Linked DNA regions of Ovis aries. The protein of the gene in region 1 purifies or fractionates together with the protein of each later gene. This does not show direct contact. Links are inferred from orthologs where the notes say so. Each region holds a gene or a part of one and is shown on either strand. Other genes may lie near its edges.

Region 1 (3,512 bases):
CTATAATATACTCTCCATACTCAGAGCTTACAGTCCAAATAGCATTTTAAATACATTAAATTCTATGTGTTTATGAAGCAATAGATCACAAGGATACTTAATAGCATTTGGATATAGAAATATATCATGTTTCATAAAATAGTTAGCAACCTAAACCTATTTGTCACTTTTACAATTCTGAAAGTTTAGCTCCAGAATTATGAACAACTTCGAAAGGACACAGTACTTTGAAGTATAACTATGATTGATTAGGCTAAACTAATTCCAGCGCTGCATTGTATACTACTTTAATCTTTTTGAAAAGTGAATGAACAGCAGATGGCCTAATAAAGACACTCTGTGTGCTTGCCCAGTGTGGATTGGCTCTGAAGGGACGGCCTTAACACTTTAGGGTCCATATATTTGCAATACATCTGTCTTAGTCAAGGCAGATGGTTAAAGGAAAAAGAAACTTCCAAACTTTTGGAAATAGTCCAATTTGGGACTGCATGTTTGGCTGAAATGTTGATAAGACCTGATTTTCACCTTTAAAATCTTCTCAAAAAAGTCTAGTCTGTGAGAGTTCAAAATACATTTGTAAATAGGATTGCTGCTGGGTGTCATAGTTCTGCTTTTTTTCATGTTGCATTGTCACCCAGGCTTTCTGTGTATATTCCAGTTATTACGAGAATTATTTGGACTCTGCATTTTAACTACTCATCAGATTGACAAAATGAAAGGAAATAGAAAGCATTATCATTTTATAACTTGAAAATGAAGGTTGAAACATCGCATTTTTCTTAATTTTTATTTAATTTCTACTAGAGTAAATGTAGGAAGAACACTATCTTGTCATCATGTGTGGAATTTAAAACATGAAGTTTGCAAATGAAAAGGTTTACTTTTATATCATGAAAGCTTAATTACTTATAATCAAGGTTATTTATTCATAGCATATTAATGCATAAGAGCATGCCACTGATTTGAGAGAATGGAAGAATGATGAAGGGGGTTGATTTGTGAGAAGATTTCATGTCATTTTCCTAGAACAAATATGGAACAGTTTAATTAGAAAAAAATGTATAGGCATCTGTTTCTGTTTAGAAAACGAATGAATTTTCTATTTAGAAAATGAGTGAATTTTTTGAAATACCTCTCTAACATGGTCATTTCTTTAAATTAGTTTTGATTACTCCAGTGAAACCAATGAAACATATTTATGAAGCAACCTTTTTTCTATTTTTTGTATCTCACAGTAATAACAAGTAGTGGCTACAGCCCCAGATCCGCGCATCAATATTCCCCACAGCTGTATCCTTCCAAGTAAGTGGTCAGTAGTCTTTCAAGATTTGTTAGAATAATTTTCTGGCATTATTTTGATTAATCGTATTTACACAATATAATAATTTTAAGTCAGGATATATTTATATATATAAATGTTGCTGCTGCTGCTGCTCCTGCAAAGTCGCTTCAGTCGTGTCCGACTCTGTGCGACCCCATAGACAGCAGCCCACCAGGCTCCCCTGTCCCTGGGACTCTCCAGGCAAGAACACTGGAGTGGGTTGCCATTTCCTTCTCCAATGCATGAAAGTGAAAAGTGAAAGTGAAGTCGCTCAGTCTTGTCAGACTCTTCATGACCCCATGGACTGCAGCCTACCAGGCTCCTCCGTCCATGGGATTTTCCAGGCAAGAGTACTGGAGTGGGGTGCCATTGCCTTCTCTGAGATAAATGTTATAGGTAGTTAAATAGATATATTTTTTGATAGATTCATTGGATAGATTAGACCTATAAATAAATATCTTTCACAAATCTAGGAATATATTCACTTTTGTCCAGACAGTTCCTTTAATTTCGAACATTTATATATTTTGAAGAAAGCATCAAGCACAGATCAGAATATACTGATTTTTACAATAAAAATTTGAAAACTATTACTAGTTTAAAGAAAATCTGAAAAGATTACATTTTACTCAAACCTCAACACTTCATAATTTGTTCCAGCTTTATAATATTTTTATTGGATTTTAACTTCTAATAAACATTTTGGAAAAATATGCACTATTGCTTGTATAACTAATGTAGTCAACGTTTTGAGGACAGTGGTAAACATTTCAAGCTTAACCATATTGGGTGTATATCTGAATTTGGTTGCCATCAGAGAGATATGTCAAGATTTGGGATTCCTGATCATGCATATTTAAAAGTTATTTTCTACAGCAGCTACAGTGTTTATCCTTAAGCATAGGCTAGAGATTGGATATCTATTTTGAGGACATTCTGTAAGATGTGGCAAGATAAAGGGAATGGCTTTCCATTTCAAGAAGCTGCGTACTTTAAAAAAAATTTTTTTTCGATAAGATTTTTAGTTCTTGTAAGGAATTCTTCCTAGGGCTTTTAATGACTTTTGTAATCATTACATGGCATTGGGTCATGCATGGTAACAGGAAATAATGCTCATGAGTTAATTAATCAATTAACTGACCTGGACTCATTAATTAACTGACCTGGACTCCACTTTCCTCATCTATGTATCAATTGGAATACTATTTCAGATGTAAGCAATATAGACCTGGAAGAGACTTTCAAGATGATATCTAAACCAAAGTTTTCTTTTCACAGGTGAGGTATAGACTTAGGAAGTTTATTTGTCCAAGGTATTGAGACTGGGTTATAGCAGAGCCCGCTCTCCTGACATTCAGACTTTTGTCCTTTTCTATATTGTAAAAATGGTGTTGTGGATAAAGAAGAGGATTACTTCCTGGCTATTATCAGGTTTCACTGAATCTAAGCTGTCTGAAATAATATACAGTCTTTGTTGCCGCAGTAATGCTATTTTTCTGATATTTAGGCCCTATCCACACATTCTTTCTACACCAGCAGCTCAAACAATGTCCGCCTATGCAGGCCAGACTCAGTATTCGGGAATGCAGCAGCCAGCCGTCTACACTGCCTACTCACAGACAGGACAGCCCTACAGCCTACCCACTTACGGTATTTCCCTTCTTCTCTCTTCTCCTTCTTTGGTTACAAGCAGGTAATCCTGCTGGCTAGTAGCTGTGTGTTCTAATATTCTTATATAAACGTATATTCTAGTATAAGTTGCAACTCACGTTCCAGCACGATCATTTTACTAATAAAATGGTTTGCACATGCACTTTCCAAACAGATCTGGGCGTGATGTTACCAGGCATCAAGACAGAGAGTGGACTCTCACAAACTCAGTCCCCATTGCAGAGTGGGTGCCTCAGTTACAGCCCAGGCTTCTCTACCCCACAGCCAGGCCAGACACCTTATTCTTACCAGATGCCAGGTAAGCAGCCACCCAGGATACATGTTAAGTGAGAAAGAATTCTTTGAATGAGACTCTTTGGCTTCAGACTAAGAATATATAGTCATGAAGACAGTATTAAATGTTACCACTGCTCAGACGATACCATTGGAAAAGATAACTAAAAGAAAACATGATGAAAAGAGCTCAACATACATCAAGAAACATGACCCATATTAAATTTAAATACTTAAGCTTAAGTTG
Region 2 (4,259 bases), on another chromosome or scaffold:
CATAGTCTTAGCCACTGGACCACCAGGGAAGTCCCCTATTTCCCTTGATTTATTAATAATTACTCAGGTTAAATGTCAATTTCTCAAAGACAAGTAGCAAAAACAAAACCCTAAAAGTGGTTTGACCAATAAAGTGATTTATTATCTTATACAACCAGAGTCTTAAATCAGGGCATCTCTGTAACCTATTTTAAAATAAGTGGCTCAGCAATGTTATCAAGGATCCAGGTCCTTTCTATCTTACTATCTACCATAGTACTTATCACCATTTGAGACAATATACCCACTCCGGTGTTCTTGCCTGGAGAATCCCAGGGCCGAGGGAGCCTGGTGGGCTGCCGTCTATGGGATCGCACAGAGTCGGACACGACTGAAGCGCCTTAGCAGCAGCCGCAGTAGCAGCAGTGTAGGAGTTAACCCAGATTCTGAAGCCAAACTGCTTAAATTTGTAACCTGGCTACCACTTAACTAGCTGTAGAGTTAAATTACTCAATCTCTCAGTTTCTGTGTCTGTAAAACGGAGATGATGACTATAATATTAACTACCTCAGAGGGCTGATTTGAGGACTGAATGAAAGGCTGTGAGGATTAAATATGTAAAATTGAAACAGCTTCCCTAGTTCCCCTAGAGGATGAGATGGTTGCATGGCATCATCGACTCAATGGACGTGTGTGTGTGTGTGTGTGTGTGTGTGTGTGTTTTAGTGGCTCAGCCGTGTCCGACTCTTTGCGACCCCACAGACTGCAGCCAACCAGGCTTCTCTGTCCATGGGATTCTCCAGGCAAGAATACTGGAGTGCATTGCCATTCCTTTCTCCAGAGGATCTTCCAGATCCAAGGATCGAACCCTGGTCTCTGGCATTACAGGCAGATTGTTCACCTTTTAGGTTACAGAGAAGTCCTCAAAGGACACGAGTTTGAGCAAACTTCGAGGCAGTGAAGGACAGGGAAGCCTGGCATGCTGCAGTCTACGGGGTCGCAGAGTCGGTCACGACTGAGCGACTGAACAACCCTAGTTCCAGTTCATTCCTCAGGCTCAGTTTTATCCTGGAGACATTCCTGTATCGTTTTAATAAACTCTCCTCTCTCCTTTAAACCATTCGTTTCTGGGGTTCGCCACGAGGCTCCCGGAACTGTCATTTCGCTTTGGTGCCATCTGGCGCCCCAAAGGGAAATGACGCGCCTGCGCTCTCCGCTCTCTGCCCTTTGTCTCTTCCCCTGGTCGAATCCGGTACCTATATCTTTAAGGTTTTTGGTCAAGACTCAAGAATTCAGGGGCGAGAGCCAAAGAACACCCGCTTGAAGGCCTCTCAGGTTGGTCCAGTCCGGGTAAGGGGAGGGATTTAGCTAACTCCACATGAGTAACTGGTCTTTCCTTTGGCTCCGCCCCTGTGAGGCAATCACAAACGCCTGTGATTGGTCAGGGGCTCTGGAGGCGGGGGCTCTGAGCTTGGCTGCTGGTTCTCCCTGACGGTCCCCGCTGCAGCTCGGTGGGCGGCATGTCCGCGAATGAAGAGATTCGTGGAGGTGCCAGAGGAGAGAGCACTACCGCTACCGGCCCCTTCAGCTTCAGCTCGGAACCAACGCTGGAGGACATGTAAGCCGTCCTTGCCCAGCCTGAGCTGGGTAGATCGCCCCTACTCCCTCCTTTCGGGTAGGGTCCCTCCACGTGTTCGGAAAGAAAGGCTAGCAGCTGTGCTCAGGTTCTAGTTCTGGGGGCTGACCCCAGGCGAACTTCTAACCTTCTCCTCTGCAAAATGGGCTTAACTATACACATCTGAGGCAGGGGACATGCCGGAGTACGGTGATGCTTCTGCCCTGCCTCTGTCCTCCAGGAGCGGGAGGTAGGATGGGAGCAAATGCAGTGTTGAGACGTCGAAGACATTTCTTTCTAGAGGAAATCCAAGAGGGCTTCTTGGGGGAAGTGTCCTGGGGCTGCATTCCGTAAAATCAATAGGATTTAGATATGCAGAGACAGGGTTATTCCAGGTGGAGGAAAACTGTAGAAGCAGCAACAGGAAGTGGAACAATGAAAACGAGGGTATTATTAGATTTCGATAGTTTAGGGTCTGTGTAAGGATGCACCCATTTTACAGATGAGAAAACCACATCCTTTAAAAAAGAGATGACCTGTTTAGGCCATCCAAAGAATTAGTTGCAGAATCCCCTCTGACTCGCATGCCCCCATTGCATCTCACTGAGTACCTGCCAGGGCCCCGCATCTCCTCCCCCAACCCCTAACCTTGGACCTGGACTTCCACCTCTTTCTCCCATTCCAGCCGCCGCCTCCATGCTGAGTTCGCTGCTGAACGAGACTGGGAGCAGTTCCATCAGCCTCGGAACCTCCTCCTTGCCTTGGTGGGGGAAGTGGGGGAGCTGGCAGAGCTCTTGTGAGTAGATGACAGGCTCTCTGGAAGAGTCTGTGTTGAGGAGGGGAGGGGAGGATTCATTTGACCATCAAATATCCATGGATCCAGTTTCCGCTCCTCACTGCCAAGCTCTTCTGTACCTGGTTGCTGGGCATTTAGAGAGATGACTTATGGGTCCGCTGCCCTCTAGGGGCTCCCAGTCTCCTGGGAGAGAAAGGTGTAAAAACAGCAAGGTAGATCCAGGTCTGAGAAGGGGTGGTGGCAACCTTCCTTTACCTCTGCCTCTGGGGTAGAAAGGCTGATCTTCTATAGAAGGCATTCCAGAGAGGGGGAACCACATTTGCAAAGGTAGTGAGATGGAAAAGGGCGAGTTAAATTCAGTGAGAATGTAGGAATTCAGCGACAAGGTAGGATTCCTTTAGTGTGAGCTTCTTGACAAAGGGCAAGGGTTTTGTATCTGTCTTGTTCTCTGGTGTGTCTCAAGTACCCAACACACAATAAGTACTTGATACATGTATCTCTTGTGGCCGCAGAGGAGAGGGGTAGGATAGGAACACAGAATGGTAGGATTCGGCTGGGAAGTAATGGAGTTCTGGACAGAACGCCTGACCCGATTTGAGTGGTAGAAAGATCACTGTACCTGCAGAGTGGATTTGATCCTCTAGGAGAATTGTGTCAGGGGAAATCAGTGAGGAGACTGGTGTAGGTGAGGCAAAATGTGGTGAGGACTAAACCAGGGTAGTCTCAGGGGCATGGAGAAATGACAGCACAGATGTGTGGGAGGGCAATCCATTCATTCATTCATTACAGGTGCATGAGCACTGTCTGGGTGCTAGGTCATCTAGAATCAAGATATGGTCTTGAACAAGATGGATACACTCACAGTGCAAAGAGACTGACAATAAATAAGTGAACTAACTTTGAAAGATATGGAATTGTGACAAGTTCTAGGAGGCAAATAACACAAGGTGTTGAGAAAGAAGGTAACAGAGGAAGAAGGCTGTTCTAAGGAGGTAACATTTGAGCTGAGACCTGATGGGAAGCATGGGTGGGGTAGAGCATTCAAGGTTGAGGGAGCAGTAAGTGCAAAGGCCCTGTGACAGTTTGGCCTATTTGCAAGACAGAAGAGGCCAGAATGAATGGCTTTAAGGGTGGGTGGGGGGCAGGTCAGAGGGAGTGTGGTGGATAATGACATTGGCAGAGACAGGAGTCATTTCATGCAGAACCTGGAGGGCGAGGTAGGAGGTTGGATTTTATTCCAAGAACAGTTGGAGGAGTTGTCATTTTTACTTTTGGCTGTGCTGGGTCTTTGTTGCTGCATGTGAGTTTTCTCTAGTTGCAGTGAGTAGGGTCTACTCTCTAGGTGTAGTGGTTTCTCTTGTTGCAGAGCATGGACTCTAGGGCGCTCGAGCAGTGCATGGGCTCACAGTTGTGGCACACGGGCTTAGCTGCCCCTATGGCATGTGGAATCTTCCCAGACCAGGGATCGAACCCGTGTCCCCTGCATTGGCAGGCAGATTCTTAACCACTGGACCACCAGAGAAGTCCAGTTGGGGGAGTTTTAAGCAGGGGAGGGATGAAATGTAATTTGTTCTTTTAAAAGATGGTAGGGTAAGAAGAGGAGATGAGTTAGCAGACTTTTGCCGTGGTCCAGGTCTAAGGTTTAGTCTGGGGTAGAAGTGACTGGGGGTTGGCAAGTAGGACTGGGTCCCAATAAGTGAAATGTCCTCTCCTTGGCTTAGGTAGGAACACAGAGGTCTGGGTGAATCATCTGATGAGGTCTCTTCCCCACCATAAGGAGTCCAGGGCCCAGATGGGTTGACTTGTCCTGGAAGAAACTTACCAGGAGGTGGGAGTTCACTGCTTCAAGGACTGGGCTGCTCCTAAGAG

The links.
Region 2: the proteins of EYA4 (region 1) and DCTPP1 purify together in Homo sapiens (affinity purification with mass spectrometry; 3 studies listed by BioGRID and IntAct, with this or other methods). This does not show direct contact. The link is inferred for Ovis aries from reciprocal best matches to the Homo sapiens genes EYA4 and DCTPP1.

What each region holds. Positions count from the first base shown.
Region 1 is NC_056061.1:58,960,908-58,964,419, forward strand, and holds part of EYA4 (eyes absent homolog 4), read left to right. Parts: intron 1-1,235; coding exon 1,236-1,302; intron 1,303-2,828; coding exon 2,829-2,971; intron 2,972-3,146; coding exon 3,147-3,290; intron 3,291-3,512. UniProt on the Homo sapiens protein: Tyrosine phosphatase that specifically dephosphorylates 'Tyr-142' of histone H2AX (H2AXY142ph). 'Tyr-142' phosphorylation of histone H2AX plays a central role in DNA repair and acts as a mark that distinguishes between apoptotic and repair responses to genotoxic stress.
Region 2 is NC_056077.1:27,117,987-27,122,245, reverse strand, and holds the start of DCTPP1 (dCTP pyrophosphatase 1), read left to right. Parts: upstream 1-1,459; 5' UTR 1,460-1,499; coding exon 1,500-1,597; intron 1,598-2,279; coding exon 2,280-2,390; intron 2,391-4,259. UniProt on the Homo sapiens protein: Hydrolyzes deoxynucleoside triphosphates (dNTPs) to the corresponding nucleoside monophosphates. Has a strong preference for dCTP and its analogs including 5-iodo-dCTP and 5-methyl-dCTP for which it may even have a higher efficiency.